Linked DNA regions of Struthio camelus. The main gene of each other region encodes a partner of the protein of the gene in region 3 in a complex. Links are inferred from orthologs where the notes say so. Each region holds a gene or a part of one and is shown on either strand. Other genes may lie near its edges. The genes, in order: KL, FGF23 and FGFR3.

The links.
Region 1: the proteins of FGFR3 (region 3) and KL are in contact, whole or in part, in a cryo-EM structure (PDB 7YSU), measured with the Homo sapiens proteins. The link is inferred for Struthio camelus from reciprocal best matches to the Homo sapiens genes FGFR3 and KL. Residues at the interface, in NP_000133.1 of Homo sapiens: Gln286, Leu288, His290, Val291, Val293, Gly299, Thr303, Pro304, Tyr305, Val306, Thr307, Val308, Leu309, Lys310, Glu320, Leu324, Ser325, Leu326, His327, Asn328, Val329, Glu332, Asp333, Thr338, Leu340, Phe347, His349; in NP_004786.2 of Homo sapiens: Ser539, Gln540, Phe541, Thr542, Asp543, Asn545, Val546, Tyr547, Leu548, Trp549, Asp550, Val551, Ser554, Lys555, Arg556, Leu557, Val563, Lys566, Arg568, Tyr571, Val573, Ala576, Pro580.
Region 2: the proteins of FGFR3 (region 3) and FGF23 are in contact, whole or in part, in a cryo-EM structure (PDB 7YSU), measured with the Homo sapiens proteins. The link is inferred for Struthio camelus from reciprocal best matches to the Homo sapiens genes FGFR3 and FGF23. Residues at the interface, in NP_000133.1 of Homo sapiens: Glu157, Arg158, Asp160, Lys161, Leu163, Leu164, Ala165, Val166, Pro167, Arg223, Asp244, Leu246, Glu247, Arg248, Ser249, Pro250, Val277, Tyr278, Ser279, Asp280, Ala281, Gln282, Pro283, His284, Ala312, Gly313, Ala314, Thr316, Thr317, Asp318; in NP_065689.1 of Homo sapiens: Ser29, Leu32, Gly33, Ser34, Trp36, Tyr43, Ala45, Ala47, Arg48, Asn49, Ser50, His52, Ile75, Arg76, Ser77, Glu78, Asp79, Ala80, Gly81, Val83, Val84, His117, Gln118, Thr119, Asn122, Gly123, Tyr124, Asp125, Leu158, Ser159.

Annotation. Positions count from the first base shown.
Region 1 is NC_090942.1:198,395,216-198,404,700, forward strand, and holds the start of KL (klotho), read right to left. Parts: upstream 4,107-9,485; 5' UTR 4,100-4,106; coding exon 3,353-4,099; intron 1-3,352. UniProt on the Homo sapiens protein: May have weak glycosidase activity towards glucuronylated steroids. However, it lacks essential active site Glu residues at positions 239 and 872, suggesting it may be inactive as a glycosidase in vivo.
Region 2 is NC_090942.1:84,396,021-84,406,327, forward strand, and holds FGF23 (fibroblast growth factor 23), read right to left. Parts: upstream 4,685-10,307; 5' UTR 4,548-4,684; coding exon 4,325-4,547; intron 2,749-4,324; coding exon 2,645-2,748; intron 2,113-2,644; coding exon 1,675-2,112; 3' UTR 1,566-1,674; downstream 1-1,565. UniProt on the Homo sapiens protein: Regulator of phosphate homeostasis. Inhibits renal tubular phosphate transport by reducing SLC34A1 levels. Up-regulates EGR1 expression in the presence of KL. Acts directly on the parathyroid to decrease PTH secretion. Regulator of vitamin-D metabolism.
Region 3 is NC_090945.1:78,284,837-78,294,696, forward strand, and holds the start of FGFR3 (fibroblast growth factor receptor 3), read right to left. Parts: upstream 4,185-9,860; 5' UTR 4,087-4,184; intron 3,947-4,086; 5' UTR 3,899-3,946; coding exon 3,718-3,898; intron 863-3,717; exon of another isoform or gene 700-862; intron 1-699.

The DNA.
Region 1 (9,485 bases), on a different chromosome or scaffold from region 3:
TGAATTGAATCAACTCTTATTTGACTACTTTTTCAGATAATAACTCACGCGGAAAGACAGAGCCCAAAATCCACATTTGGATCTGCTGAATTTTAAAGAATTTAAAGGAAATTATTTCATCTTTCAAAGTAATTAGCGTCAACTAAAATAAATGACTTGAAATTTGTGTTCACTAGCAATTAATCTTTCTCCTCATAAGGGTCTTTGTTTGAGGCAGAGAGGTTGAAAGAAGATAATCAAAAGTGATTGCGTGTTGTAAATATACACAAAACTGTGAGAAAACACATTCAGTCATCTAATCTGTCAAGATCCAAACATTTATGAGAATATGTTTTATCTTTTAAAGGACAAACATATCTTTCACTGGGAAACAGAGACAAGAAGATCCCTGAGAAGGAAACAAGACTAGGACAAGCCTGGGACTGGTAATGGAAGACATAAGCAACAGGAGTTTGGGTGGCTGAAAAGTTTTTTGTGAGCGGAGATCAACTACATCTTTCCTGGAAGGGCTTGAGGACTACAGCCCCCAACAGCACTGCCTAGCGCTGTGCCCCCGCTCCAAGTTATGTAATGAAGTGGCAGACCCACAACTGCACAGCCTTCTGATCCAAATCCAGGCTGCGTGTGCTCCTGAGAATGAGTGACCGAAGTCACTTACAAAACTATATGCAATCCCTCCCTCCTGCATTAAAAAACATTATTCAAGCTGTAAAGTCAATCACTCAGGAGTCAGGCAGAGGAAAACTAAATCTGCACATGGAAATGTAATTCACTCCCTTTAACACACGCGGAATAACTTGGTCTTTCATTACATGATCACATACACTTTACGGATATCAAGCTGTGTGTTCAGGGAAGCCATATTCTGAAGCTGCCTACTTCATCGCTTGCAAAAGTTGAAAGGTGTAATTACGGGGATGTAAGAAACAAAAGAAGAAACTCACTGTTAAAGCCATTAAGTTTTCTGCCCTGAATAGTCAGGCCAGATCTCTGCCTGTACTAAAGACTTCTGCCTAAGCATTCATGGATGAGAGCTTCTCTGCATGAACTGCGCATCCCTTATTTTCTGTGTGGGTGATCTGAGATTTTGGGATCCAACCAGCAGAAGAGCTGAATGTATAACTGCCCAAAAATCACATGCCAGGAAGAGGGCACCAACAATTAGTGGATACTTTTGACCTTAATTGCCTCTGTCTTTCGGTTCCTCATTTGTCAAATGTGGAAAAAATGATACCTCCTACCTTACAGAGCTGTGTAAAAAGAAATGATCACTGTTTGTGAAAAAAATGAAATGATAGTCACTAGAAGAAGACTGATTCAGAGATTATGTCACTAAAATAGTTATAGTAGACTTTCCTGGTCTAATTTCTTATACTTTCTATATGCCTTATGAAAGTCTGTGCCTTAGTTTTTCATTTATGAAATTGGAAGAAAGCACTTCCCTTCTTCATAGGACTTTTGTGAGAACAAGAATATGCTTGAGATTAGGAGGCGCTCAGATACTATGGTGATGTGAGATATAAATACTCGGGAAAAACAGCACTGTGGAAAATTCATGGAGAAAATAACCATTACATTTAGTTATCTGTTTTCAGAGCCCTGTATTCAGACCCGAAGCCGCAAACCGAACAACCAGGTGGAGGGGAGAACCACACAGAATATTGAATTGGTACTCATCACTTGTCCATTTTGCACAGCAGAGGAGAGGCTTTAGAAAGAAAATAAAGTGACAGACAACATTAAAAGTCCAAGTCAGCATGCCTATGACTCTCAGAGCTGAAGTAAGAATTGCAAGGTAAGCTTTCTTTTGACAGTCCGAGAGCTCAGATTTGCAGCTTTACTGATTTCTTTTGCATATGATCTATACAAAGTCGGAGAAATAAAACTTCAGCTCCCAAGATTTTGTCACCGATGGCACCGAGTCTACAGCCCTTACCCTTGTGCACAGTCCCACTGATTTCAGAATAACTATGCAAGTATAGCAAATAATTTGTGAGTAACTATTTAGAGATTTTCTGAAAAGTGTAATGATCACTGATAGGCGACAAAGTCTTGCTGCAAAATTTGGGGCTAATACTGCAAATGCTTAAGTTTAGGAGTACCTTCACTCAGAAGCAGATTCAGTTCAGTGAACTGTACAGTCACGGCATCAAACTCAGTCAAGTACATCCTAAGAACTGCTTAAGAGTTTAAAGGTTTCAGCACCAGGAATTTAAGTGCCATCTGAAATGCTACCCCTGTTCAAATTACATCCATGTGTACACCCATGTACACCCCTCTATTTTGTCTTGAAACACTTTTAACACTAAATGATGCAAAGTTAATGCATAAAAGAGGCAAAAGTTGACTAAGCCATGAGTTGGATGTTTTATCAGCGTTCTCATTTCATATACGATACTCACTCAGGAGAACAATACGCTTGCCAGTAAGCATATATTGAGCAAATGAACACTAGCAGAGTTTAGGAATGTGCATTCAGGTAAAATAGATTATTTCTTAAGAGCTGTAACTAAATACCACTCCAGTGAGACATACTGAATCTTTTACTCAGTCAGTGAAAAAGATTTGCACACACTTTTGCTTAATTCTGACAAGTGCTTCCAGCAAACCTTACAAATATACCATATATAAGTAAATTACATAAAAAATACTTATAACAAAAAAGTTATGAGACTTACTAGCCTAGCTGGGGAACACAGGGTTGTTTCCCCCCCAAAAAATGTTCTCTTTGTCCAGAAAAATCCTACTCTGTTAAGAAATATTTTTGGTAAGACGTTTCAGCCACCTCCACCACCTCCGTTAATTCAACCAGACTTTTGTATCAAACACATGAATTCTTTTTACAGTTGTATTTAAAATTTCCACAGCAACTTGAAGCGGAGGCTGGAACCAGCACTGGTCTGAACTCAAACGTCCAGAATCGCATTCACAAATGTCGGGAGACCAAAATTAAACATTTCTGCAGTATACAAAGAACATTTTAATTCGGTGTGTTTGCATTAAGTTGAGGGAACTGCAACTACAAAGTTTGCGCCTCCAATTTATGAGCCTAAGGCGTCTTTAACCCCTTGAAAAGGCTACCCGCTCCAAAGGGGAACAGAATGGATGTTTAATTCTGATGCTCACTTCATATTAATTTGCCTTTTTTTCCCCCCCTTTACTTTAGTGGCTGTCAAAGGCACGGAGCAGCCTGAGGGCAGCTTCCCACAGGCCCAGAGCTGGCACCACCTGAGGGTGCCGCTCTCACCGCCGCCTGGGGGGCAGCACGGCACCTTCCGGAAGGAGGAGAAGAAGGCCCCAAAGATGGTGGGGGAGCCCCTTCCCCCGCCCTCCCACCGCGCCGCCGTTTTACCTGCAGCAGGTGGTGCGCCGCCCTGTAGCCCAGCCGCGGGCCGCCCCGCACGCCCGGCGGCAGCCGCCCCGTGCCGTAGCCGTGCCAGGCCACCACGTAGGGGTTGTCCATGGTGAGCCAGTAACGGACCTGCCCGCCGAAATGCCGGAAGCAGAGCTCGGCGTAGTCGCGGAAGAGCTCGGGCAGCACGGGGCTGGCCCAGCCGCCGTAGGCGTCCTGCAGGCGCTGCGGCAGGTCCCAGTGGTAGAGGGTGACCACGGGCTCCACGCCCAGCTGCCGCAGGTGGCCCAGCAGGCGGCTGTAGTAGGCCAGCCCGGCGGGGTTGAGGGGCGCCGTGCCGTTGGGCAGCAAGCGGGCCCAGGCCAGCGAGAAGCGGTAGTGGGAGACCCCCAGGCGCCTCAACCCCTCGGCGTCGCGGAACAGGTTGTTGTAGCTGTCGCTGGCCACGTCGCCGCCGGCGGGCTGCGGCGGCCGGGCGGCGGGCGGGCGGTGGGCGAAGGTGTCCCAAACGGAGGCGCCTTTGCCGCCCTGGCGCCAACCGCCCTCGGTCTGGTAGGCCGCGCTGCCCACCCCCCAGAGGAAGCCCTCGGGGAAGGTGTCGTGCAGGAAGAGCTGGTCCTCCGGGTAGGGCAGGCGGGCGAAGCGCGCCCAGGTGCCCGCGCCCTGCCCCGGCACCGCCAGCAGCGGGCGGCCCAGCAGCAGCGCCAGCAGCGCCAGCAGCGCGGGCGGCGGCGCGCAGGGGGCCATGCCGGCGGGCGGCGGCGGGGCTCCGCGACGGCGCCTTCCCTCCGCTCAGCCCCCCGCCCCGCTCCCCGCCCCTCCTCACCTTCCCCCCCCGGCCCCCTTTTATCCTCACCTCCGCCCTCCCCCCGCCGGTGGGCACGGCTATTAATGATTACCTCGGAGCTGCCGTCGCCAGCCTGCCCGCCCGGCCAAGGGGGAGCGGGCTCCCGCCTTTGGGGAGCGCCGGCTGCGGGGGCGGGATCGAGGAGGGGCGGGGGGGGAGGCGAGGAGAGCGGAGCGGAGGGCGGCGGCGGGGGGGTTTCCTCGGGGGAAGGAGCAACTTGTCTCCCCTTCGGGGCCGCCTCGGCCACCCGCAGCCCTCTAGGGCGCAGAGCCCGTCAGCCCGCCCCGTCCCGAGGTACCTGCTCGGGCTCTCTCCCCCCCCCCCCGCCCCCGCCACCTCGCCAGCGGCCCCTGAAACGCTCAAAACAGCTTTTTTTTGGCTGAGCCCACCCGATGGCCGGAGCGGCAAGCGCTGCGGCGCCCGGGAGCTGTCCCGCGGCCGGGGCGCCGCCGCCGGGGAGCTGCCCGCGGCACAGAGCGGCGGGCAGGCGGCCGGCCAAAAAATTCCTGGAAAACTTTCCTGGAGGCCCCCCCCCCCCCCCCACCCCACCCCACCCCACCCCGCCGAGCTGCTGCGTGGCTTCATGTATGTGCGGGGTGATCCAAAGCCTGCGGCTGCTGCTTTTTGGATTTTTTTGGTTTTTTTTTTTCCCCATACTCCAGTCTTTCCTTCGTGGTGCCGGGTCGAGGGACGTCGCAGCTGCAATAATAATTTAAAACGTCATGCATTAATAATTAAATAATTGTAGGCATGCAATAATGGTTGAAAACGAAATCATTGACTGGGGACTTCGTACGCTCTCACCCCCCCCCCACACACAATAATTCGTAAGCTGTCACCTCCAACTGACACCGCCTTTTCTTTTCTGGAGTTGCAGGTTGGTATATTTGGTTATTTACTGCATGCAAAACAAATTTCAATTAGAAAGGCCTCGCAGATCCTCATGGGGAGCAGAAAGAAAAAAAAGAAAAAAAGCTGTGTGTTTAAGTTTAATTATTTAGTTATGTCTGTTAACTGCTTGTGTGGATGTGATACGTGAACTTCTTAAAGGCAGGTCTCAGTCTGCTGAGAAGTAAGAATTAGCTTAAAATATTGCAGAAAGTTGGTATTTAATATTCAGTTATGTGAAGCCTAGGATGAGCTGGGGCATCTAAGAATAAAACACACCTACTAGACAGGCCGTTAAGGACAGAGAGATGTTCCCAGGAGATAAAGTTATTGTTTAACTAAAGAATGAAAGCATTAAGATAATTTCATTTTATTTTTAGAAAATAAGTGCCCTCAGAGGAGAACTCCACGTAATTGCTAATAATGAGTGGATGGATTTAAATGCCAATTGCTAGTGGACGCTGAGGTGCTAAAGGTGTTCTCTTGAGCCTAGGATGGGCTCTAACACCTTTCGTAATCACGGCAGAGCACTTTCTTTGCGTCTTTAAAGAAGTTTGAGCTTTCACCTTTTCCACACTAGTTCGATTTGATTTGGGGCTGCTGGGTTGTTTTGTGGTGTTTTTAATGAGGGGACCAAGGATCTGGAGTACCAGATGGTAGTAGTCTTCCATTGTTTCTGATTAATTTATTCCCATGTTAGAGGGATGGAGTTTTAAATTGCCCAGGGGCCCAATAGCATCCTTTTACTAAGGGCACAGCAAGTTTATGGGGTGGGAGCAGGGAAGAGAGCGGCAGATACTGCACCAGAGGCTAATCGTCCGCTGCAAGGAGTGTGTTTGCTCTACAGTCTGACAAGCTGGTGACATTTGATTGCAGTCTAAGTAAAGGATAACTTGAGCTCCAACTGCAGCAACAAAAAAGGTGTTAAAATTGAAATATGGATGCCCTTTCAGGAGGAAATGAGTAGTATCAGATAGGCTACATCAGATGCTCCCCATATTCAGGTGTACCAATCCCCTAGGAAAAATATTAGCACAAGCATATTAGTTGCTCTTCCACAGCAGGTTGAAAATAGAGGTTTGCTAAGAGGTTGTGCATGTACATTTGCTTTTACATTTGCGCACTCTTTTGAAGTATGGCTTGTTGGGTTCTGTTTGTTCTTTCGGAGTCCTAAGTTTGTTCTAAGGATAGCATCACACAGTAGATACTTGCAGAAGCTAGAGATTAAATCTTAAGTACACAACAGGACTGCTCTAGTCCTCCCTATGCAAGGAGTGAAGAGTCAGGCTCCTATTCAGCTACTGACCTGATTCCAGTGGAAGTTTAATGCCTTTGCCTGGGACTTGCTGCCTAAGTATTTTGAAAATCTTGGTGTAGAGGCAGATCTCAGAAACATCTAAGCCTAAAAAAAAAGGCTTTGGAGGTGTCAAATCTATTACTGAGATTTAAGGGGAAAAAAATTTTGATGGGTATCTGGGGACAAAAGACGTTTTAAAATATATCCTGATGCATTCTCTTTTAATTTGCTAATTATTAACTAAAACACAGTTTAATCCTATTTATAGTTAGACCCTTAACTGAAACACGTTCATTAGGATCTCTTTTTCTGCAGAGCCTCTCTACAGCCAAAGGAAAGAAATAGTGTTAGGGTGAGTCAGCCTATGTAAGAACTTAGTCAACTTCTGGAGGTGCCTGCCTTCTCCAAAAACTATACAAGGAACCTACAGTGAGTATGTTCCTGAACTCGGCAGCCCAGTTTTAAGGGGTGAAATCTGGCCATGAGTTGCTGGCACAAAGCTGGCACTTCACCTTTATGTTTATCAGATGAAAACTGGGTCTTAAAGTATAGAAGTCAGAAAAAGTGCACCGCTACCTCCATTTACCTGTTTTTCTCTTTACAGAGAAAGCTTGTTTTCATGTTTCAGAACAACGCAACCACCCTCTGCTCTGGGCCAATATATATTTTTTTCTGGTCTAAGAAACACTGTGCAATATTAACCATGCAGAAAGGTCAGCCAAACACTTGCAGACATGCAGGTTTCTCTGTTTGCTCCTTGAGTTCAAAGCGTGGCTCCATCGTGTCTGCCCTGCTGAGCAAGCACACAACAGCAGCCCAGCCCGGCAGATTTGGATTTGTTATCTTTCAGCTTTCTTTGTATTAGTGATTAGTGAAGGCTCAACTTCTGGTAATATGTATGCTGGATATGGTAAGTGACAGTATAATTTTCAGTCAGCCTATACTCAGAAATTTTCTTTATCAGTTATGCAGCAGCATGCAATCAAATTCAACAATGTTGTGACTGAGCACTTTTGTTTCCTTCCTAAGGAAACAACTTTCGGGGATACTATCTTGGCTGAGGGGCCATGATTACTGATGGCATGCAATTTTAGGTAAAGCAACTGTGTTGATGATTTAGATTCATTTAACACCTTTTCCTGATGTTACGTCATGCATTGGTTTCAATGCAGCAACCCTCCTCCTCATTTTAAGATCTCTGCAGGATAGCGACCTGGCTTATAGTGGTGGCATGTATACTCCTACCTTTGGCAGAGCAAAAGGCCTCGGCACCTGGAACAGCCATTTTCTGTTTTAATACCCATTCTTCGTTTACAAGCAAATTTACAAACATTTACAAGCATAAAGCCAGTTGAAAATAGTCTTGTGTAGTAGATCAGCCCTGGTGAGGCCTCACCTGGAGTACTGTGTCCAATGCTGGGCTCCCCAGTACAAGAGAGACATGGCCCTACTGGAGAGAGTCCAGCGGAGGGCTACAAAGAGCAGCGGGGGGGACTGGAGCGTCTCTCCTGAAGAAAGGCTGCGAGAGCTGGGCCTGTTCAGCCTGGAGAAGAGAAGGCTGAGAGAGGATCTCATCAATGTGTACAAGTATCTGAAGGGAGGGTGTCAAGAGGATGGGGCCAGTCTCTTCTTCGTGGTGCCCAGCAACAGGACAAGAGGCAACGGGCACAAACTGAACCACAGGAAGTTCCATCTGAACAGGAGGAGAAACTTCTTTGCTGTGAGGGTGACTGAGCACTGGCACAGGTTTCCCAGAGAGGTAGTGGAGTCTCCTTCCCTGGAGATATTCAAAACCCGTCTGGATGCGATCCTGGGAAATATGCTCTAGAGGAGCCTGCTTGAGCAGGGAGGTTGGACTAGATGATCTCCAGAGGTCCCTCCAACCTAAACCATTCTGTGATTCTGTGATGTTTTCAGTCAATTAGTTTAATTGATTTAATTAGTGTTCAATCAACTTGTTCGATCACTTGTTCTATATGTATATGTGTATACATATGTATATGTACACGTGTGATATATTTTGTATCAAAGCCTAATCAATACTGCCCTAAGCCAAGTTTTGGGATTTTCCTCACATCCATCATGCAGATACGTCAAACACTATTTTCGTCAGAATCCCACAAATACTAGAATACTAGCACTCTTACTAAATACCATTCTATCTCTGATTTCCCCCTGAGGAAGAGATGGGCATCTTATTGTTCAAAATATTAATCCTCCTGTGATTTCAGGTGTGGGTAAAGCAAGATCTGATATTAATTATGGCAGTAGATGTATGATGTATAAATATGTGTCACCTTTCCACAATAGTACTAGTAAGATGAAATTCAGTTTGGGGTTCAGACAGCTACATATCTTTAACAAGAAGTAGATGGCTAAGTTCCCAATTTATTTGATGGAGGTCCGGCCAGAGTACACTGTGGAACTGGTGAGCTGAACAGCCCAAATGCACAGAACTCTGTTTCCTACACCTAGGGATCTGGTATCATTTTACATGTACTAGGGTATCCTATTTGACTTCCAGTTGCCATTACAGAAGGGCATAGGTCTCCCACATTCAGTTGCCAGTATAAAGGCAGACGGTGTCATTTGACATACCATAGAATGGCCATGGTATCTACCCAAGACTGACAGATATAACAGAGGGTCTATAAGGGACCTGTCCCCTTTCAGAGTATCAAGTGGCAGACAGATGAGATACCTACTCAAATGTCATGTCAAATGGCAATGGATGCCTATATGTGGGCAGCTGAAATGAGCCCTCCATGCATTATCTTTAGCTCCCATGCAGTCACCATAGGCTGTTGGAGATGGATGTAGACACACGTTTTGGCTGCTGAATCTCTCCCTTAGGGCTTAACCTTAGGGTGCACAGAATCATTCTATGCTATACTGATTACATTGGTTAGATGTCCTTGAACTATCATGGATTTAATTCAGTTACCTAAACACAGGTGTTTAGTGTGATGCCCTAGGCACCTGAAACATTCATGTGGGATTGCCAGGTATGACACAAGACCAATTCCTTCTGAAGTGGGAGCCAGAGGTCAGACAGGATACACTACAGTGTCTAAAATGACAAGAGATGCCTATGTCGAGGT
Region 2 (10,307 bases), on a different chromosome or scaffold from region 3:
TTTACTTCACTAGACAATAACAAGGACAGGACCAGAATCTAGCTTATTGTTTTTTATATTATTGCTATGGACACACTTAGGCAAAATATAGCATTTTCAGACTGTTGTTAAATATATTAAATAAATAAAATAGGTAAATTTACATCTTGAGAAAAAATGCTTGCACATCAAAATAAAATCCCTTATTATATATCCACCACACTGGAAGTTTCTGCAGTTTATCAGTACCTTGCTGTTAATTTCTGCTGGAGTACATCAAGATTAACCTTTAAAACTGCACAGATTTAACATTCAAGGAAGGTGAGATCATATTTAAAAGAAAAATATGAGGAAAATAGCTAAATATGTACACAATTTTCAGAGAGCTAGTGGAAACAAATATAACTCTATTAAAACCAATGAAGCTATGCTGAATTCCACCAGCTAACGATTTGACACCTAAATTACAGTGAAAAGCTCTGCTCTGCAGATATTCTCATTTTAACTAAAGATTTGTAAACTTCAGATGCATCTATGGAGGTTAGATTCCAAACTTATCCATAACATAGACCAATCTGGATGTCTAAGGAAAAGGCTTTGTCAATATTTAGAGATCTTATGATGAAATTAAAGTAATTTACTCTTACAAGTATAAATCATCTGATACCTACTCAGAACTAAATAGAAACAGTGATACTAAACTTGGACCCTCCTTTTCTAAATACATACTTCATTTTTACTCATCATAGGAGAATATGCACTAGCTATGAGTAATTTGAAGCCTTTGGGGCATGACTGATTGGGAATTATTTTTCCTAGCAGAGTTCAGCAGCATGCAAAATAAATTAACCTATCTGATACTATTAATTATTAGTACTCCTGGTACTTCTCTCTGTGTTGGAAATACATAAAAATAATATTTTTACATTATATTTCTATATTTTGACCCTAGAATTAAGTGAATATAGAAGTGTGATAGAGAAAGAATTGAAAGAACTTTGGGACTCTACTTGTTTTTTTCCAGACCTCAGCTTGGATTCAATAGGAGTCAGAACTGACTCTTTCTATGCAAGACCATTTGATCCCTGTTCTCTTGCCAGTTATTCCAATTTTCCATGTGCGCAGATCCTTTAACAACAGAGCAGTTGCTTTTTGGCTTCTATGGGTGTGAAAAGAGACTATAGCTCCAATCCTACCAGCTAAAACCATATACAATAAAGTTATTTTAATCATATAACACACCAGCAGACATTTTTTATGCTGAACTTGCACCGCCTGCTGTTGTGCTAATTAGAGGACTCCCTGCTTCTACTGGAATGAAGGCTGCAGAGCCCAAGTCTCTTTCCAGCTACACCAGTAATGTAACATTTGTTTCTTATTTTTCATTCAAGTGAGTTCTGTCCACTGACGCAAACTAAAGGTGATTCAAACCCCCAAAAGTTTGGTTTGTATTATTCTTTTTGCAGATATTTCTTTTTTCCAATAGCGTAGAGCCCCACCTGGAAAATATATGATTTGTTTTTTTCAGTGAACTGTCATCTCTAAGGGTGCGATTTGAAATTCAGGTTTTTTTCCATTGTCTTTCAGGTTTCTAGTAGCCATTCTGAAAGTTGGAAATTGAATCAAGTATGCTAGCCAGTTCTTCTCATCTATCACATTCATCCATTATTTCAATTTGCAAGTGGTGTGGCCCCATTATCTTGTAATATAGAAGCGAGGGCTCACATGCCTCCTGGCATCCATCATAGCGTGTGGGTCATCTGGGTTGACCACATCATTCTGATTGATTCTCATGGGTTCTCTGGGCACGTGGGAAAAGTCTGCTTGCAGCTGCAGCTGGGATCCTAATGCGGAGACCTTTCTCTGGGGCACCAGGATCTGGTGAGGATCCATTGGATCGACATCTGCACTTCTAGTGTTTCTGTGGGGCTCAGGTGTGTTGAATCGGAATAAAGGAATTTCATTTCTCCTGGACAGGAACTGGGAATATGGTGGTGGATTCATACCAGGGAAGAAAGCTTGTTTAACTCTGCCTAAGCTAACCAGGAAGTTGTATTTAGGAGACTGGTACACATCGTATCCATTTTCCAGGGTTCTGTGTTTGAACACGCAGTCTTCTTGGCTGAAGTAATGCTTAAGGAAAAAAATGACAGCTGTGAGCAGAGAGATTTGGTGATTAAAGAGTGCCAATTAAAAACAGAAAGAAGAATGAGATCTTGCAGCAGGTATCTTTCTGATCCCCTAGCTCTGCAGTAACAACTGAGACAAGGCTTAGTAAACTGTAGACTAATATATATGCCCATATTTACAGCAAAGGTATTTTTGGGCTAACACTGCTTTATCTGAGAGGATTGTATTGTCTGAGCTATTTCCAAGCCACGACTATAGACTACAGCAAGAATTCAGGTTGATCCACCATTAGATTTCATTCTGGCCTCATTTAGCCCAGCAGGACTTGCACGACTTCTGTCAGCTCTATGATTCAATACGATTGACAAGAAGAGGAAAGTTTAACCTACGTGTCAGGTTCTCAGCTGGCTTAAATCTGCCTCCTCCGTCACTGCCTCTGGCTACAGAGATTTGTCCTAGCTGAGGAAATTGGCCCTATGGTAAGAACAGCAGGCTGCAGCTGCCTCAGTCTTGAGTCTTAGCAAAGGTCACTCACCGATCCAAAAATGTTTCCTTTCATGTCCATGCATAGGTAGCGTCCACTCTTCACTCCAGTGATTATTACATAGCTAGCACCCTCGGATTTGATCATTAGAGCACCTATTTAGAAAAACAAAGATATCAAATCCAGGACACAGTTCTGCACTGGATTGTTGCCTCACCGATCCACAAAAGTGCTGACTGGAAGGGCCATCCCGGGGGTCTTTGGGCCACCATTCCACTCAAATGTGGACAAATGTGCTGTTGGCTCACATTTGGCTTGGTGCCCCTGTAACCCTCAGGACCTGTCCAGCAGGGCTCTGTCTGTGCAGTGAGGCTGCTCCAGCCTGTACCACCACCAGGGGTTATTTCAGCCCTGGTGCAGAACTTTGCACTTCTCATGTGTCTGGTGTCTCAGCAGGACTGTGGTGACCTGGTTCAGTTATTTTGCTTTCACAGCCCCTTTCCTTGTCTTATCTCACACTTTCTGCTCTACCATTTCAACTACCTGTACACTTGCTTCATGACAGATTGGCAAAGCATGGTATTTTGTTGGCTGTGATTCTCTACACCATCACACTGGTTCTTGACCAACACGACTGAATTTTTTAGACCCTACTAATATATTTGAAGAATAATAACAAGAGGATGCAGCCTTTCTACAAGTGTTTTATCCATAATTCATAAAAAAATAGCAGAACTTGATCATTTTTTCTCCTTAATTAAATTATAACCTTTTTAAAAGTCTTTTGTTCCTCATACACTCATACACAGGTATCTCTGGATATGCTTATATTTTTAGTTGAGTAGTTGAAGAAGATGCTACACAGTAGTAATAATTAAAATTACTTTCTGATTTATTGTTACTTGTGATCATTTTTCTACTAGTTATGGTGTTTGGGCTAGGTATGCAACAAAGAAAGGAGGATACCCCAGTTTTCCAAGAAAATAGATGAGGATGAGACAATTTGGGAGCCACACCTGCACTCCGAAGGCTTAGCACTTCATTTATGAGAGTCTGACATTTTGCGGTTTCTCCCAGTTTAATCAACCTTTGCATATTCAGTGAGCCACGTTCTATGCACAGTTGTGTTTCTACCAGGCAGTACATTAAAGGCACAAATCTGAAGCTTGTCTCACAAACTAATTTTCGATTCAGAGAAGTATTGGTGTACTCAAAAGGAAATGACCAACTGTACTGATGTAGTTGCCTACAGATATTTTTCAGCTCTCTACCCAAAAGTAAAGGTTTTATGGACAAAACCAGTTTTCCAGCACTTGTGTGGTGAGTTCACTCAGTATACTTCTTTTGCAGATGTTATCAATGGAATAAGAAGGAGATACTTGGGACATGTCATCACCAATCTCTCATTGGAACTTCCACAAGAAGCTGTGGGTAAAATCATGAAGTGAAGGATAATTTTGGTAGTTTTTGCTTGCAGAGTATCACAGGAATCACATAACTTACTGTAAAGGTGAAGAATCAGAATTCCTATCTGCTAGATTTCTTTGAAGCAATTTTGTTTATTTGTTAAACAAAAGGAATATTACAATTATGTGTATTTTCCATCTCGCAGCTGTCTGCCTGCCAACCAGGAGGATGGAAATTGCTATAGCTAGTAAGAAGGCAAAAAAAGACCATTGTCCTCTCTTCCCTGCTCAAATGAAGACCGGGGGTCCATAATGAGCTACTTACTGTAAATGGTTTGGTGCGGGACACCGTCAACGTAGCCATCAGCGTTGATTTGGAGGTGGAAGCTGTTCCTCTCCGTAGCTGTGTACAGGTGCATCAGGCGATCTGCACTCCCCCAGCTGGGATTCAGCAGTGGAGAGGAGTTGGGAAAGGCAGCGGTAGCCTTCAGGCTGCAGAGCACCAGCAGCATGCACCCTAAGCAGCTGTAGGGAACGGCCTGTGGCATGGCTCTCTGTCCTTAGTGGCTAGTCTGTACCTGAAACTTGATACTCCTCTTTGCTTCTCTCTTTCCCTGGTTTGACTGCGTTTGGAGTATGAATCCTCAGATGGGCTCCTTTCTTCTTTGCAGAGGCTTATAAAGGGTAGCCAAGTGACATCACACAGGAAAAACTTCTCCACATCCTTGATTTTTGTCAAAGCAACATTTTAAGTGGCCCGAAACCTCAAGGGAAGGAAAGCACGTAGGTTCTCTGGCTAAGGTGTGGGGGGGGAGCAAATGTAAGGTTTCTAAAGACAGCTCACAAAAGCTAATCATATGTTCAAATGTTATCTACAAGCCTGTGACATCTGAGAGCTTCCCACGCCCCTACTGTTAAATCCAGGAAGAGCAGTCTACTGTGCTACATAGAAAGCCTTTTGGGAGGGGAAGGGAACGAACCTTTAGACTTTGAACTTTTTCTCAGATATGTTTGTTCAGATTCCCACCTTCCCCTTGGTTTTCCAAACCACATTCTAATTTCACAGAAGCACCAAATACTGCTAAAATTTTTGAAGATGTGTCAGAAGCTGGTATTAGGTTAATCTGGGCCTGATTCCCCATTCATAGTGATGTAAATCCAGCAGTGAGCCTGTTGGACCGAAATTTATGTCACCTCCTTTAAGCAAGAGAAGCTTGATATGAGCGCAGCCCTCTTGAAATAAGCTCTCCCTTTTATTTCTTCTGATATCTTGAGTTACCTAAATAATTTGAAGTTGGCCAGTCAGCTGAAAATTACCTGTAAGATGCTTAGAAGCTGCATATTTGTTGCTGTACTGTAAGTCTAGGTGGCAATCATGTAAGGAGTCATATATGTTAGCATGGCTAGTAGATCTAGGACCCACATCAAAACAGAAATAGCTCATCTTGGCACATTTTTTTACTTGAGGTATAGCAAGCACACTTGGAAGAACTACAAAAGAACATGACCAAACTGAAAAGTAATAACTGCAAAGCAATGTTCAAAAATGGCTTAAGATATGATACCCACATTTTAGTTGTCCTGCCGAATTCTGTGGTTTTACAAATTTCCCAATTAAAAAAATGCTTCCATTTTCATTATGAAAATGCTGTATTAATGGGAGAGTGGTTATGTAGGTGAAATGATGATGATGATGATGATGATGACGACAACGGGTTATGAAACTAGGCTTTACTAAAGTTTCTTTCAAAAATGAATATAAAACTGAAGAGAATACTGAAAACTAAGTCAATCACTTTTTTAAAAAAAATAAATTTGAGGTTTTTGTTTGTAGCAGTCTTAGGTCCAGTACTTTCAAGCAATATACAAATAAGTTAGTCTCTAGTTGGACACAAGGTGTCAGATTCTCAGTTTCCTTAGTGAGCTGTGGAGCAGTGCCACGAGCACCATGCATATTACAGATTTTTACAACTGTATTCAACTGCAAAAGCTGATCTGATTTTTTTTTATCGTTTAAAATTAGCAAAACTCTGCCAATTTCTTCTGACATCTGTGTAAATCTAAAGGCTTACGTCAGTGTGTATACACCTGTGTAAATGACAGCAATTTTATGCAAAGTGCACTGGGGTCATATCTTAAATGGAGTAGATTAACAAAGTTGACTTCACTGAGAGGCAATTAAGGCTACAAATGTTTTACTGGGTGTAACATCTGAATGTCTTAATTTAAAAGCTAGTTTGGAAGGAAAGGATGAATATTATTTCTTTTCTTTTCTAAGTGATGTATCTACCTTAGTACTGAAATTATTCATTCATTTTTTTCAGTCTGGTATTAGAATCCAAGGATTTCTAAAATTTTTTTGGTCTTTTACTCCCTTTCATTCAGACTAGTGTGGAAATATGGATGGGGATACCTCAGAAGCAGTTGCAAAAGTTTCCACAAGAGAGTCATATACAGGATAGATTGTCTTCTTGGAAGTTTTTGTGATCTTTTTGTAAGTGGAGTTTTTCTGGTGTGATATTTCATATTCATCATGATTTTTGTCTGTGCTTACCTTTATGCGCTGATCTGATTTCTCTCTGGTGTCTTAGCTGCAGAGAAACAGTTCTCATGTTTCTGAAAAATGTATTCAATCATCTCGGCACATGCCAGTTGTGACCAGCCATTTCTCTTTTTTTATATATGGCAGACAAGCAGACTATTTTCAGGTGCTTAAATTGTTTGGCATTTTCAAGTTTCTCATGGGGTCAGTAGCACTCCAGGCTTTGCTGAGTTGTGTTTGTTTAAGCTGACAGGCTAAAGCAAATTTATTTAAGTTTCTGCTTGTCAGGATGGTAATTCAAATTTTGCCTTTTAATGCACATTTTTACTTTAATTCTATATGCAAATTGGTGATGCTTTTTTAACAGTCCATTTCGTTTTTGTTCCCGGTTGATCCATTTATTCCTTCTGTGGGTATGCCACTTAACTTCTCCTACCCATTCAGCTGTTGCTGAAGTAACCAAGCAGATGAAAGCTTGCTTACTTGTTCAGCTCTCTAAGTTAGCCTAATGAAAGCGATTAAAACCTTATTCCTCTTATATCCTTATGCTGTTGCATCAGTAGCAATAATATTTTCATAACTTTTACCATATATGTTGATATTTCTTTTTTGTCTATACTGTTTTCAGATGTTTGACCAATCAAGACAGCTTTTCTAGGTGTCTCCTGTACCTAAAGAATTAGGTGCAGCATCTTGTAGAGGGAAAAAAAAAAAACTGAATTTGAAGACCAAAAATGTCTAATCAACCTCAGAATTGCTATTCTTCTTTAAATACATCCTTAATTCAAATAAATAATTCAGGGAAGCAGGTTGGTCCCTGCTATGTGGAGCCTCTTGAGCAGACAGGAGGCAAGGTGAGTGCCATGAGGACAGCAGCTGAAATACACATGGATCTTGAGGCATGCTGGTGGAAAAGGGAAGGACTGCTGTGTCCTTTAGCAAGGGAGACCGAATACAGACCTTTCTGCCATCAGGGTGGCCACATTTCCCTCTTCCCACCTCAGAAACATGGCACAGCTGGGGTCGGGTGACACAGGACACAGGACTCTGCAGGACTACCTGCAAAGGTAGCGGTAATCACTGACAGCCCAAAGGCAGCACTGAGGGTGGATGCTGTCACCAGCAATGAACAATAAGGAAAGTCTCCCTTAACCGCATTGCTGAAGAGGAAGGGATGGATCAGACCACTTTGCAGTTGAAATGTATGTGAGAAAACGATTGATGCTCTGCACCTTCCCAGGCTGTTTCCCTCCTCCCCTGCCGGGCCATCACCCCTTACCTGCTCCTACCGACTCTGTCCTCTTTGCTTTGGAGGTAGCAGAGGTCTGGCAGGGTTGGTGGATCTGGGAGCTGGGCATCAGTGGTGATAGGCTCATGCCTCATCACTGGGGCCTACCACGTGGGCTGCAAGTGCTAATCCAGAGCACACAATGACCAGCGGACACAAAATACCAAGTATCTATAAGTGAACATAATCATTTTCTGTGTCCAATGAGACAAATATGTGGTGGGAAGTTTTGTAATTTAATTAAATATGAACATTTAACTAAAAATTATACCCAGAACTATACACAAGGGAACTGAGTTAAGGTAACAGGAGCCTGAGCTCTGAATTCCCACATTTTGAGCACTTTGCATTTCAGCCTCAGGTCATTTTTGATCATAACTTATGATTTCAAATCTGTCAAACCCTGAGCTTGGCAGCTGCTCACCTTCCCTTGTGCAACTGCTAACAAGATAACTCCCTTCTTTCGTTGCTTATCACTTCAGTCAGCTACAGGGGACTTACAGGGCAAGTGCAAACTTTTTGAACACGTATAAGTTACTACAAGAAATTCACTCTTACTTACCTTTTGCAGGCTCTTTAAAAGTGCTTTATGCACCATCAAAAATTTGCAGGTTAAAAAATGAGTTTCCTGCTTAGTATAATGAGGTTACTTTCCAGGTCCTCTTATGAATAAAAATACGTGTCTCCTCACAGTGTTTGACTACCTTTCAACATGTAGACACACGTGTAGGGTTGTTGCTTAATAAAGCATGCTGACCTATATTTAAACAGGTGTGTGGCTTGTCATTTTGCAGAACCCTGTTCTGGCTGAGGGCAGGGAGATGTTCACCAGTCTGTCCCCGGGGCTGGCAGCCATGTGAGGATGGGGAAGAATTGCCCCTTCTGTTCCCAGGTAGCTGGGATGACCCTCAGAAAGCCTTCTGCTTTTTGCTATTTCAAAGATCGCAAGGGAATTTGGCTTGACAAATCTGAAACTGCCTCTTTTTTTCACGCTTTTCTCTGCACTGCATCTCTTCTAAGAGGTCAGAGATTCAGGGACACTTCTCCCTTCTTCCCTCCTCCTTAAAATCACTATAATGACTCTGGGACAATCACATCTTCGATGTTGGAAGTACAAGGGTGGAGTGCCTCTCTAGTAGTTATTCTTGGAATAATGACACACCAGGACAGCGGTGTGTACTGTGGATGCCCTGTGTGCATGTGTGTGCATGAACCTTTGCCACAGACTTTACCCAGTGTTGTTAAACACATCCTGAGTGACCTTATTTGGATGTCCCATCCTTGTCACGCTGCCCACGACTAAAGCAAACATCCTGGCTAGGCTCACCTACGTGAAACAAATGAAGTAAGCACAACCCACTGCATCTGGGACCGCAGCATGCACTAGCGATTTCTGCAGTGTGCTTGCCAAATGTATGGTCTTGGCTCTTCTATTTTTTCCCCCTCACCTTTTCTCCATGTAGTAGATGTTTTGGAAAGCCATTTCCAGTTTTAAAAGTGCTAAGTCACCTGTGCAGGCAGACAGTGAATATTGCTGGAGTATCTCTTGGACACCTATCCCTGCATTATGCAGGACATACATACAGTCTTTCTGAGAAGTGCTTGTCTTTTCTTCTTGGGATTTTTATTTCCAGACAGATGGAAGACTGGAAGAAGCTTTCCACTCTGGTTTGCCATTCCTAAAAAGGAGCAGCTTTTTACCAGTGGCTTTAGAGACTATGGGCTTTCAAAATTTAACACAGCAAAGACGGACACCAACAGAAAGCCGCAACACTGCATGGCACTCTGAGGAGGAAGCAGGTGGATCAGGCTTCCCTCCTTGTAAGTGTCTAAGAAGGGCCTTGATGATGATGCTCACGTTATTTTGCTCTAACCAGCTGAAATGAAGGGCCCTGTTCCTTCTCTAGCTGAAAGCACTGTCAGAGCTCCCAGGCAGAGCAGGACCAGTTCCTGAAAGGCTGTATTTTTTGAACAGAGACTGTTTTCATTGTTTTAAGGGCTCTGAATTTTCATAGGTGATGTGGAATAGAGAATGGTCACAACCTGTGATGGGAGCTGCTGATACTTTTCATTGCCAAGGAAATGCTTTTTGGAGGGTCCCCAGCTGTAGTGCCCATTCCTTGGGGGACAGGAAGCCCCCTTGACTGGGGAGGAGCTGCTTGTCCTGCAGCTCAGGTCAGTAACTGGACACAGTCAGCCCTGTGAATCAGCTCATAGACTTGGTGATGGGTAGATAAGAGGAAGTATGTGGACCTGGGATGACAGAAATGAGAAGAGCTGGGTCCCAGCCTACGTATATGCGGGAGGCAAGTGGTCAAGGCAGGAGGTGGAGCTGTGAAAGGATACACCAAGAAAGTGAAGGAAGAGGGCACAAAATGGACCTCTCCATCTGTGACTGGGAGAGCTGCTGCAGCTTGTACACAAGAAAACTTTGAGGTAGTCTGATTGAAGGCCACAAATGGCTGAACCAAGCTCCCT
Region 3 (9,860 bases):
TAAAAGGTGGTGATGTTACACATCTAGCATCAAATATATTAATGAACTGGTCTCCGCACTGAAACAGATTTTCCAGGCCACTATTTGCTAGCTGAAGAATAGACTAAAAACCAAAAAGCCACATTTCATCATCCCCTACTCATGCCCTCTAATTTTATTGCTCTGTAAAATATGCTAGTCTCAACATTAAAGACTTAATTAACTTCTTGAAATCTGCTACCGTTAAGACAATAAATGAAACAACTTTCTTCAGCAAAACTATCTCACTCATAGCCGCCCACAGAATCTAAAGGATTTCAGGTCTGAGATATAAAGTAGAAAGCAACAATACTTTATAAGGGACTCTTTTTTAAAGGGCTTTGAAATGCTTTCCTTACGAGAACGTATAAACCCAGAACCCTACTCCAGGAATGGTCAGCGCCACGCAGCACTCACTCAAATACAACTCTAATTTCAGGGTGAACTTTGGAATGTTTAGATACACAAAGTAAAACGACCCGGCCCATAATACCCTACATCCTACCCAATATCCTCGTCAGAAGCTGAAAAGGCTAAAAAAAACCAACCAAACAAACCAAAGTTGCTATAAGCTGCATAAAGAAAAACTTTTCAATCGGCACATCACCGCTGTTTCCAAGCAGAAAAGTCACAAGAATGTCTGGCCCAATATTTAAATTAAGTTAAAACGTGAAATGGTACCTTTTCTATTTCTTTGGCTTGCTTGCTGGGACCAGTATGGTAACTCTGGGTGACAACTCGACTACAGTACTACGCAAGTAAACCTCAGTTACTGCTCTTGACACGCTCGGATAGCTCCTCCCTTGCCGCACAAACTTTCTCAAACATTAACAGCTTTCTACGCAACTCTGTCAATGCATATACACAGCTTTAGCAGCTAACTAGTGTAGTAAAAATCCTAAGACGTCCAAAAATTCACTTTTCCCATGTGTCACGTATGCACACGCACAAACCAGATACGGAAGACAGCCTGTTATCAGAAGTCTTTAGAAGAGAAATGCTGCTGTTTCTGTTGGTCTGCTCTCTAAGAAAACAGCCAGCATTACTTGACATTCACAAATCGTACCAAGTAATATCTTTATCTGAATACTAATGCAAATTGGAAGGGCTTTTTTATATTGATGTCTATTCTGTGGCTGCTGAATAGAGTGACCGCATGCTCAAGGCTGCAAAGGAGTTCACTGACCTCCCTAATCATCTCTGTCATAGCCGCTGAATGACATACACATTCAATCCTGCCTTGCCTCTCTACTTTCATTCATAAAAAAAAAGAAAAAAATGACATTGTTCTTCCTGCAGCAGCCCCGAGAAAGGGAGAGAAGAGAAACTCAGCCCAGATGAGGCCCCTGGTGTTTTTAGTTTAGCTTCTATTCAGCAACAGCCCCGCCATCTGCCTCCTTCCTGCCAACAGCCGAACACCTCCCTGCGGAGATGTTAAAACCTGCACCCCCTCCACCTCCACTAATAGCTAGTATTCATATTAGCAAACATACACATACCTCGAGAATGCCTCCCTTCAATGTGTGTTTTATGTAGCTGAGTATAGGCACAAAGCAGTAGCTGTTACAGCCTTCACAGCCCCGTGTGGAGAATTAGATCACTAGGGAAAAATCCTTCCAAGCCCCTTTATGGAAAATAAGGCCTTACACTGTAAATGCAAAACCTAGTGAACAACAACCCTCAGTAATGAGCCAATACCCCATGGCCCATTTGACTAGGAGAAAGAATTTGCTTTTTACCATTCAATTCAAAGCTTGAAAAGTAAAATGTGTTTTTACTTGGCTCTGAAGGTTTATATTCTTTACAGTTGCTTTTGCAGGTCCTTTTCTCTCCCAGATAAGAGCGCCCTACGCGCTGGCAACAGGTCCTCTGCCCTTGCCTAACGAGTCAATTAGATATCACGACAAGCAGCCCGGGTATCGCTAGCGATATTTCACGCTTCCCTCGTGCACGTGGCCAGTCAAAAAGTAGCCTGGCGTTACAAAGCTCGGTCCCGTCTCCGGAGCACGCTGCCTGCCCGCCCCGCGCGCGCCACCCCCTCCTCTCCCGTCACATCTCCCTGCACGACTCGTACTGCCGGAGAAACGCTCGGAAACGCTGCTCCGCGTCCGTGCCCACGGGAGCCCTCCGCGGAGGGCCTAATCCTGCTCCCCGGGAAGCGCGGGAGAGTTTTGACAGCAGCAACAACAGCAGGACCACAACTGTGCCATTACTCGGAAAAGCCGGGGGGACGAAACCAGAACCTGCCCGCGCAGGATTTCCACCAGAGCGCCTGGCAATCCTGGAGCATCGCTCAGTTCAAAGACATCACCGTAGGGACATTTTCTTCAGCTGCCTCCCTTCCACCAACACGCCGGACGACTATAAGGGCACGTCACTTGCTAAATTTCAAACACCACCCTAAGATCTTAACGTGCAAATGTGGGTGTCTTAAAGAACAGAAAGGTTTTTACTGTTTTTCTGCCCACGATCTCAGTCCCCGGCTGTGAGCTCAGCCTGCCTGAGTGTAAATCCAGAGGACCCCCGAGGAAGTCACTGAGGTTGCTCCACACTTTCCTTGGGGCTCCCCAAAGAATTTTGCTCTAAGTGACAGCGCAAATACATATTTCAGGCTAACACGGGGAAAAGTTCTGACCTTAATTTTGGTCGATTCCTAATACCGTTACTAGCACAGACTGCTCTTGCTTCCTCCTAAACACCAATCTCATCTGCTCTGACAAAGCAGCTGAGATGTTGCCCCATAAATCAATTCTTTTGGCTGTGAAAAATGAGCCAAACGAGTTACACTAAGAATCTGGTGTTTTATTAGTACTTTCTTGAAAACAAAACCAACCCCCTGTGTGATTTATAGCTTTAACCAAAAGGGGTATGAAAGTAATGCCCCCCCCCAGCCTCCACGAAGCCCATTTATTCCCCTGTCACTTTTTTGGCAAACATGCTTCAAACCCTTTCGTGAACAATGGAAACTTTCTGTTGGGTACACGCAATCTTAAAGACAGGGGACTAGGAGGGGGCTACCTTCCATTAAAGAGCTTTGAAAAATAAACAGGGACTCAGGTAGCAGCTGAGGCGTATCAGAGAGACACGACATTTCAAACACGCTGTACCGTTTTTAAACAGCTTTTGCCCAACGCGTTAACTTTTTTTTTTTTTTCACTTGCGACTGCAACGCTTTCCACTCGAGGGGAGATATTTACTGCATTCCCGCAGATGTTTTCCCCTCCTCAGCACAATCCCAACTCTTAAGCCGTGCGCCGGCGCCAGCGGAGCGGTGGCACCTCCCGTCCCGCTCCTACAACGCGGGCACAGATGCCTCCCCCTGCTCTCCGACGTGCGCGCACGGAGGGCTCTCTGCTTTTCCCCGCTCAGCTGCGAGCGCGGCTACGGCCAAACCCCGGATCGGCACCGCGGCGGCAGTTACTGAGAGAAGGAACTTCGAAGGCAGGGAAAGTTGTCTGAAAAGCGATTTTTCCTTCCCGGGCGTCCTGCTGGCTTGGGCAAGCCGAAAGTGCCGCTGGCGGAGGAGCAGGCAGCGCCGGCCAGCACTTTCCCAAAGCCGGCAAGCGCAGCGCGCTGCCGCCTTTCTAACTCGCCCTCCGGGGCCCCCGAGCTCGCCGCGCCGCGGCCCGTTCCCACGCTCGCCTCCCGCCCGGCGCGCCGCACCGCGCCGCGCCGCGTCCCCCCGCCGGGCAGCCTCACCTGCGGGCTGCCCGCCGCTCCTCTCCTCCGCGGGGGAGCCGGGCCGCCGGGCCGCCGGGAGCCCGCCGGCCGCCGCCGCCAAGCACAGGCACCACAGGGAGCCCCACGCCGCCAGCATGCCTCCGGCGCGGCACCGCGGGCGCGGGGGAGCCGCCGCACCGCCGCCGCCCGGCTCAGACATCCTCCGGCCGCATGCTGCCGCCGCTCAGCGCTCCGCTCCGCCGCCGCGCTGCCGAGAGAAGGAGAGAGCCGCTCAGCACCCCCCCGCGTACCGAAACAGGGAAAAAGGGCGGGGGGAGGGGGGAAAGCGAGGAGAAAAAAAATAAAGGGGGGACGCGCGCACATAAGCGGCGCCGGCGAGCCGCTTACCTGCGCAAGCCCCGCGGCTCGCCGCGCACCGCTCATGGAGGGAGCGCGCCCGAGCAGCCGCCACCGCCGCCGCCCGCCCGCCGCCGCGGCGCTTCTGCGTCTGGTTGGCGGGCGCGGGCGCGGAGCGGGGCGGCCGCGCTGTCCCCGCCCGCCGGGGCCGAGCCGCGGGCGGCCCCGCCCCGCTCCGCGCCGCCGCCGCCGCCGCCGCCGCCGCCGCCGCCGCCGCCGCCGCCGCCGCCGCCGCCGCCGCCGCCGCCGCGGGGGGCCGCGCCCCGCTGCGCGCCCCGCGGGCGGGGGAGGAGGGATGCGGTCGGCGCGGTGCGAGCGCCGCGCACCTCCGGCCCGACTGCAATCGCACGGAGAAGAAGGGGGTTCGCCTCGCTCCGGGAAAGACGGGGTCGGCGGGGTTAAAGTCGGTCCGAAGTCCGGCAGTGCTAAGTACGAACCCTAAGACTGCGGCCGCGCAAAGTGGCCCCATGCCCTGCCATAGTGTGCCATGAAACGCGCACAGACTTCGTTTTTCTTTTTTTTCCTTTTTCTTTTTTCCCTGGCCTTACAACAGCAAGGGCGAGTTTTCTGAAAAGAGGCAGAATTGGCTTAAGCCGACTCCGTTGGGTCGTGGGCAGTCTAGGCAGGACGTGGCATGGCAGAAGCCGCCTGCGAGCGGTGCCTGCACTCAGCCTAACGGCTCGCATGCTGAAAGCGCCATGCGCCCGCTCCCCTGGCAGGTTTGCTGTGCTACGGCGGGGACTCCTTTGCCCTGGCCCGCCGAACACCCAGCGCCGGTGTCGTATCCCTGCTTGGATTCTGCGCGTTCACTGCTGCTAGCTGGATCAGCTACTTTTAATAAAATCTGATTAAATGTCACTTGTTACGATTTTGGGTAACGCAGTCGTCTCAGTCACCCCCAGACGTGGCTGACTCGCCGAAGTGACACGCAACATTTATCATTGAGAAGCGATCTGAGCTGCTTCATACAGAGGTCACAGCTCTGCTTTAATCCTCTTGACGCAGCAATTCATTCACTGAAATCTGAGAGGTGCAACTATTATCAGAGCTGAAAGCGCTCTGCGCAGGGTCCCCCAAAACCCCAACTTGCTAACAGCTAGGGTGAGATGGTTCAGGAACGAGAAACGTGTAAAAAGCTCAGGCGGCCTTGAGGTTTGCTCTCTGCAAGCCAAATCCCAGCTGCTGGGGCAGGTTTCGCTTTCGGCGGCGCGGCAGAAGGCGGGAATTGCTGGCGACCTCCGTGGCGGGGCTCTGCGTCGGTGCTGTTGTCGCTGAGCTCGGCGTCCGTCTTGACACCTTTATCAGGCGCGGAGAGTCTGACATCTCAATACTACGGCATTGTGTGGGGAAGCATTGAACCGGGGCTGCAGCGAGGAAATCCTGCATGTCAGCAGAGACTCTCGCAAGTGTCACAGGCAGTTTAAACGAAAACAATGGAGGGAAAAGCAGGCATATAAATAAAACGCGGTTATTTCGCCTGGGAAGTGTGTCAAACTGAAAGATGTTTTCTCTCACAACTGCTGTGTTAGAGGTGCCAGAAAATTGGTGAAAACAACAACAACAACAACAACAACAACAGCGTAATTATAGTGAGAAGAAAGTAGCGTTGCATGTGGAGTTGTTGCCGTTATTATTTTGATGATGACTTTTTGGAAAGGTAGGGCCAAATTCTGATCTCATGTAAAGACAGCAGGGTAAGAGCAGCACAGCATTTAATTGGTGAATCCTCACCGTCTTTCCTGTGATTATCTCCGTTTTTCACAAGAGCAGCAAAGGAAAGTCAGGAGCTTTCCTCAATCCGCAGCTGAAGCAAGAAAGTAAGTGAAAATGCGGAGTCAGGTGAAGCCAAACGTGTCTGTGTCCCTCTCGGGCCAGGGCGACAGGATAGAAACGTCCCATCCAAAGCAAGCGAGTTTTAAAGCTGCTACCAGAGGCTGCTGAGAGACTTAAAGGTCTGTGTCTCAAATCAGGTAAACCTAGCCCTTTAATGGTTTCAAACTGGTTTTCTTTTGGAGAGAAACTGAAAGCTTACAACATTTGGAAGCCCTTTGCGACAGGAAATCAAAGAGGTATTGAGATAGCCCTGTGTAAAGGACTTCAAGGTTGGCAGTTTTCCCTAGGGTGGGATATTTTTAGGTTTCCCGTTTATTAACCTCTGGTGCAGCCCATTCACATGAGGCTGTGGAGCACCGACCCGATTAAGCGCAGATTTTTAGATGCTAGTTCATCACTGCGGTGGCCACTGTAACAGAGCCGGAGATGCAGTACTGTGCAGTGAAAACTGTGTTTCTGGACTATGTCTCAGCCACATTCTTACTATAAAAAACTCAATGTATGTAGACTAGTAAACCCTGCTCAACCCAATAGCATTTATTTTAGGACTACTATGCTGTAAGATGCATCCTAGCCGCAGAGTATTCCTTTCACCTCGACCTAAGAGCGCGTCCCCCTTACGCCGATCTACACGCACCACCCCAGTGTTTGTTCTCCTCTTACCCTTTATAAACTTGCCCTTCCCAGGGCTTTGTATTTGTTTAGCCCCTTAATATCCAGAGCTGTCCGTGATGAAAATCAACCCGCTTTCGGCAGCTCTGGGACAGCGAGCGGCTGCCCCTTTTTTCCGAGGCAGGGGCTGAAATACGATGTGGTGGCAGCGCTCTCAGTGTCAAAGCTGGTCGCTGCTACGTTCCCGGCCCTGGTCCTGGCCGAGGTGCTTGGCCACCCGGAGCGGCTGCGCCCCCACACCCTGCTCCTGCTCCTGTTGCCCCTTTCCCGTAAGCCATGGCTCTCCCTGCTTCCCTGCTCCCACCGACAGGTAATTCAGCTCAGGGACCAAGGCAGGTGGCCCTGGACCAACGCCCCTTTCCTTCTCCTTCCCTTCCCTTCCCTTTCTCCACGGCTCGCTCTCTGCCTTCCTGCCAGGCCTCTCCACCAAAGCTTGATGCCCTTCAGGCTTCAGGCAGGAAAGCTAGAAACGGCATTTTTAGTGGTGGGCCAGCACATTAGAACTATTCTATGCAGAAATATATTTAAGCATAAATCTGGCCACTGAAAAGAATGAGGCAAAATAATGTCTTTGCTCTTTTTTTTTTTTAAATTGATTAAACCATTAGTTCCTGCCTACCTGCATAGCTGAGTTGTTGTATTTAACCAAGCAGAGAGCAGAGCATGGTGGCTGCTGTGAACTGACACATCGTGGGCCTCCATACAGATCTTTAAAATGATGCTGGGGGCTGGTACACCATCCCACCACGCCATACATCCCCATCAATGGGTCCTCGTACAACTTGCTTCCTTAGCGGGCAGAAAACAACTCCTGAAGCTATCCTGAGATGGAACAGGGCAGTGAAGCAAGTGAAACTTCAGTGCAAGTTTGAATATGCTGAACAAGATGCAGTAGAATTACATGGACACGTGGTCACACGAGTCTCTGAATCATATCAGGTTAGGTACACAGAATAAATATCACCAAATATTTCTTATCAGGACTGAGACGCGTGAGCCAGATTGAGCACCACAGCTCCCCAGGGCTTTACCAGCCTGTTCCTCGTTAGAAGCACATATGAGACTGGGCTGAAATATTACTTCAGAGTTTGTCCATTTGCATGCGTCCAGCCCTTGGAATCAAAGGGTTAAATAGCAGGAGTGGAGGTGGACACGGGAGTAAATTTTCCAGAGATCATGTCACTATCTATTTATATCAATAAGGCACATTGGAATGGCTAAACCAGTTTTTATTAACTAGCCAGTCCAAAGGGCTGCGATTCCAAGCAGGTTTATTGAATTTCAAGCTGATAGTCATTGTTGCTAAGATTAAGGACCCAAATGATTGTCAGGGTAAACACTGTGAAAGGTTAAGCCACCATGTGAAGGCTTTCTCTGTGCTTGCAAATGAGAAGCATATCACTTTGAAAGGTGGTTACAGCACAACTTCATCCTGTAGAGTTTACTTCCCCACAGAGCAGCATGGAAGTGAGAAAGAGAAGGCTCTGTTAAGGGAGAAGTAATTTGATTTGAAGAGGAACGAGAAAGAACAAGTGAGCTGGAGAGAGACGCACAAAGTCTCTTCGGCAAGAGCTGCATATGGGGAGGTTCTGGCAGAGGTGAAATAATTTGGCAGCCTGGAGAGAAAACTAGACGGTTTGCGGAAGTAGATAGAAAAAAACTGGAGAGAGCCTGTGGAGGGTGTGAGAAGCAAAGATTTAAAATCAGATCTTGAAATAATCTTGATTCAGTACAGCCACCGTGCGTGCAGCATGGGACACCGGCTGGCTCTGCGCCCTCCTGCGAGCACGTCTCGGAGATGCAGTTCACCTGTCCTGCAGATCTGGTTATCCTAGTCCTCCGAGTAAACCAAGACAAGCATCTGGAGCCTGCAGAGAAGAAGACAGAGATATTACTTCTGCCTGCCCGGTGCATTCAAACAGTCACTATATATGACATTTCAGATAAACTTTGGCTGGAGCACTTCATTTGCAGGCATAGCAAGACCTCTAACTTTGGGGGCATTTGAAATGAAGCCACACGCTGCTTAGTCACCCACCGGTCTGCGAAGACTGATGCCGGTGAGAATAAACCAGACGCTGCCAAGGCAGTTTTCTGGGAGACCCACAGTCATGTTTAAGTAACTGTCCTGAAGCTAGGATTTACTCCAGGAACACACCCATGTACCATGAGAACTGGGATCTTATCACATCTGTGTGGCATGGTCCCAGAGGCAAGCTCCAGCCCATGGGCCTCACTAATGACTGCTGTTGGCCCCAGCAGCGGCATGCGCGGGATGAAATCCTCTCTGGTCTCTAGCCATTTCGAGAACCGCGCTTCATGCTGTCCAGTGTGGCTCGTGACTCCCAGCCCAGCCATAGGGCCTGGCTTTCGCATCCGTATCCCTCTCTCCAGGGGCGTTTCGGGGGATCTGCCCCACTCTGCAGTACCGGAAAGGAATGTGTCGTGAGCAGCAGAAGATCTGTCAAAATAAAGAGCCATCAACTAAAATAAATGTGAGTTAAAGATAATTCAGCTGAGGTCTTCTATCTGTTGAGGACTGCAGAATTTTAGTCAATATTAAGACATTATTACTACAGTTTTCAGTCAAGCTCTTTCTCAGTGGCACGCTTGTCTTACTTTAGGGGAAGGCTTGAATACAGGGACAAATCAGTCATTCTTAACGCTGCTTTACTACTGACTGTGTGCTCCCACAAGGCAGTGCTGACACAGTCCCGCGTCTGACTGCAGCCCTGCCACATCTAGAGGCTGATTTGTATGTCTATCTCCTTGCAATTCCTGTGGTAGTTTTATTTTTCCAAAAAGCACAGTACAAGCTCTGCTCCACTACAGAGATAGGGTGGGTGGATCAGACGCATATTGGTGCATTAAATATACAGGATGTGTTACAGAATTGAGTGACTCTATAGCTTTTTCTGGCCTTTGAAATAAAAAGTAGTACGCATGCACATTCCAAATCCTATGTTCATGTCCAGCAGCTTTGCAGTGGAAAAGCAATTGAGGGTCTCAGAATACTTTATAAACAGAGATAACTCTTCTAGCTGGTCTCTGAGACAGTTAAGGGTTATTATCCCCCTGTTACACATGGTCACTCCAAAGCCCAGGAAGGTGAACTGACTTACCACATGCCAGCTCACAGTCTGCAGCTTTGATTGTGGGACCAAATCCAGCACTGTCATAATAAAGTGATAACTACCTCGGGGATCTTGTGCTTTTGCAGAAATGTGATTCCCCTCACGCAGCATGCTGGATGTCCAGAT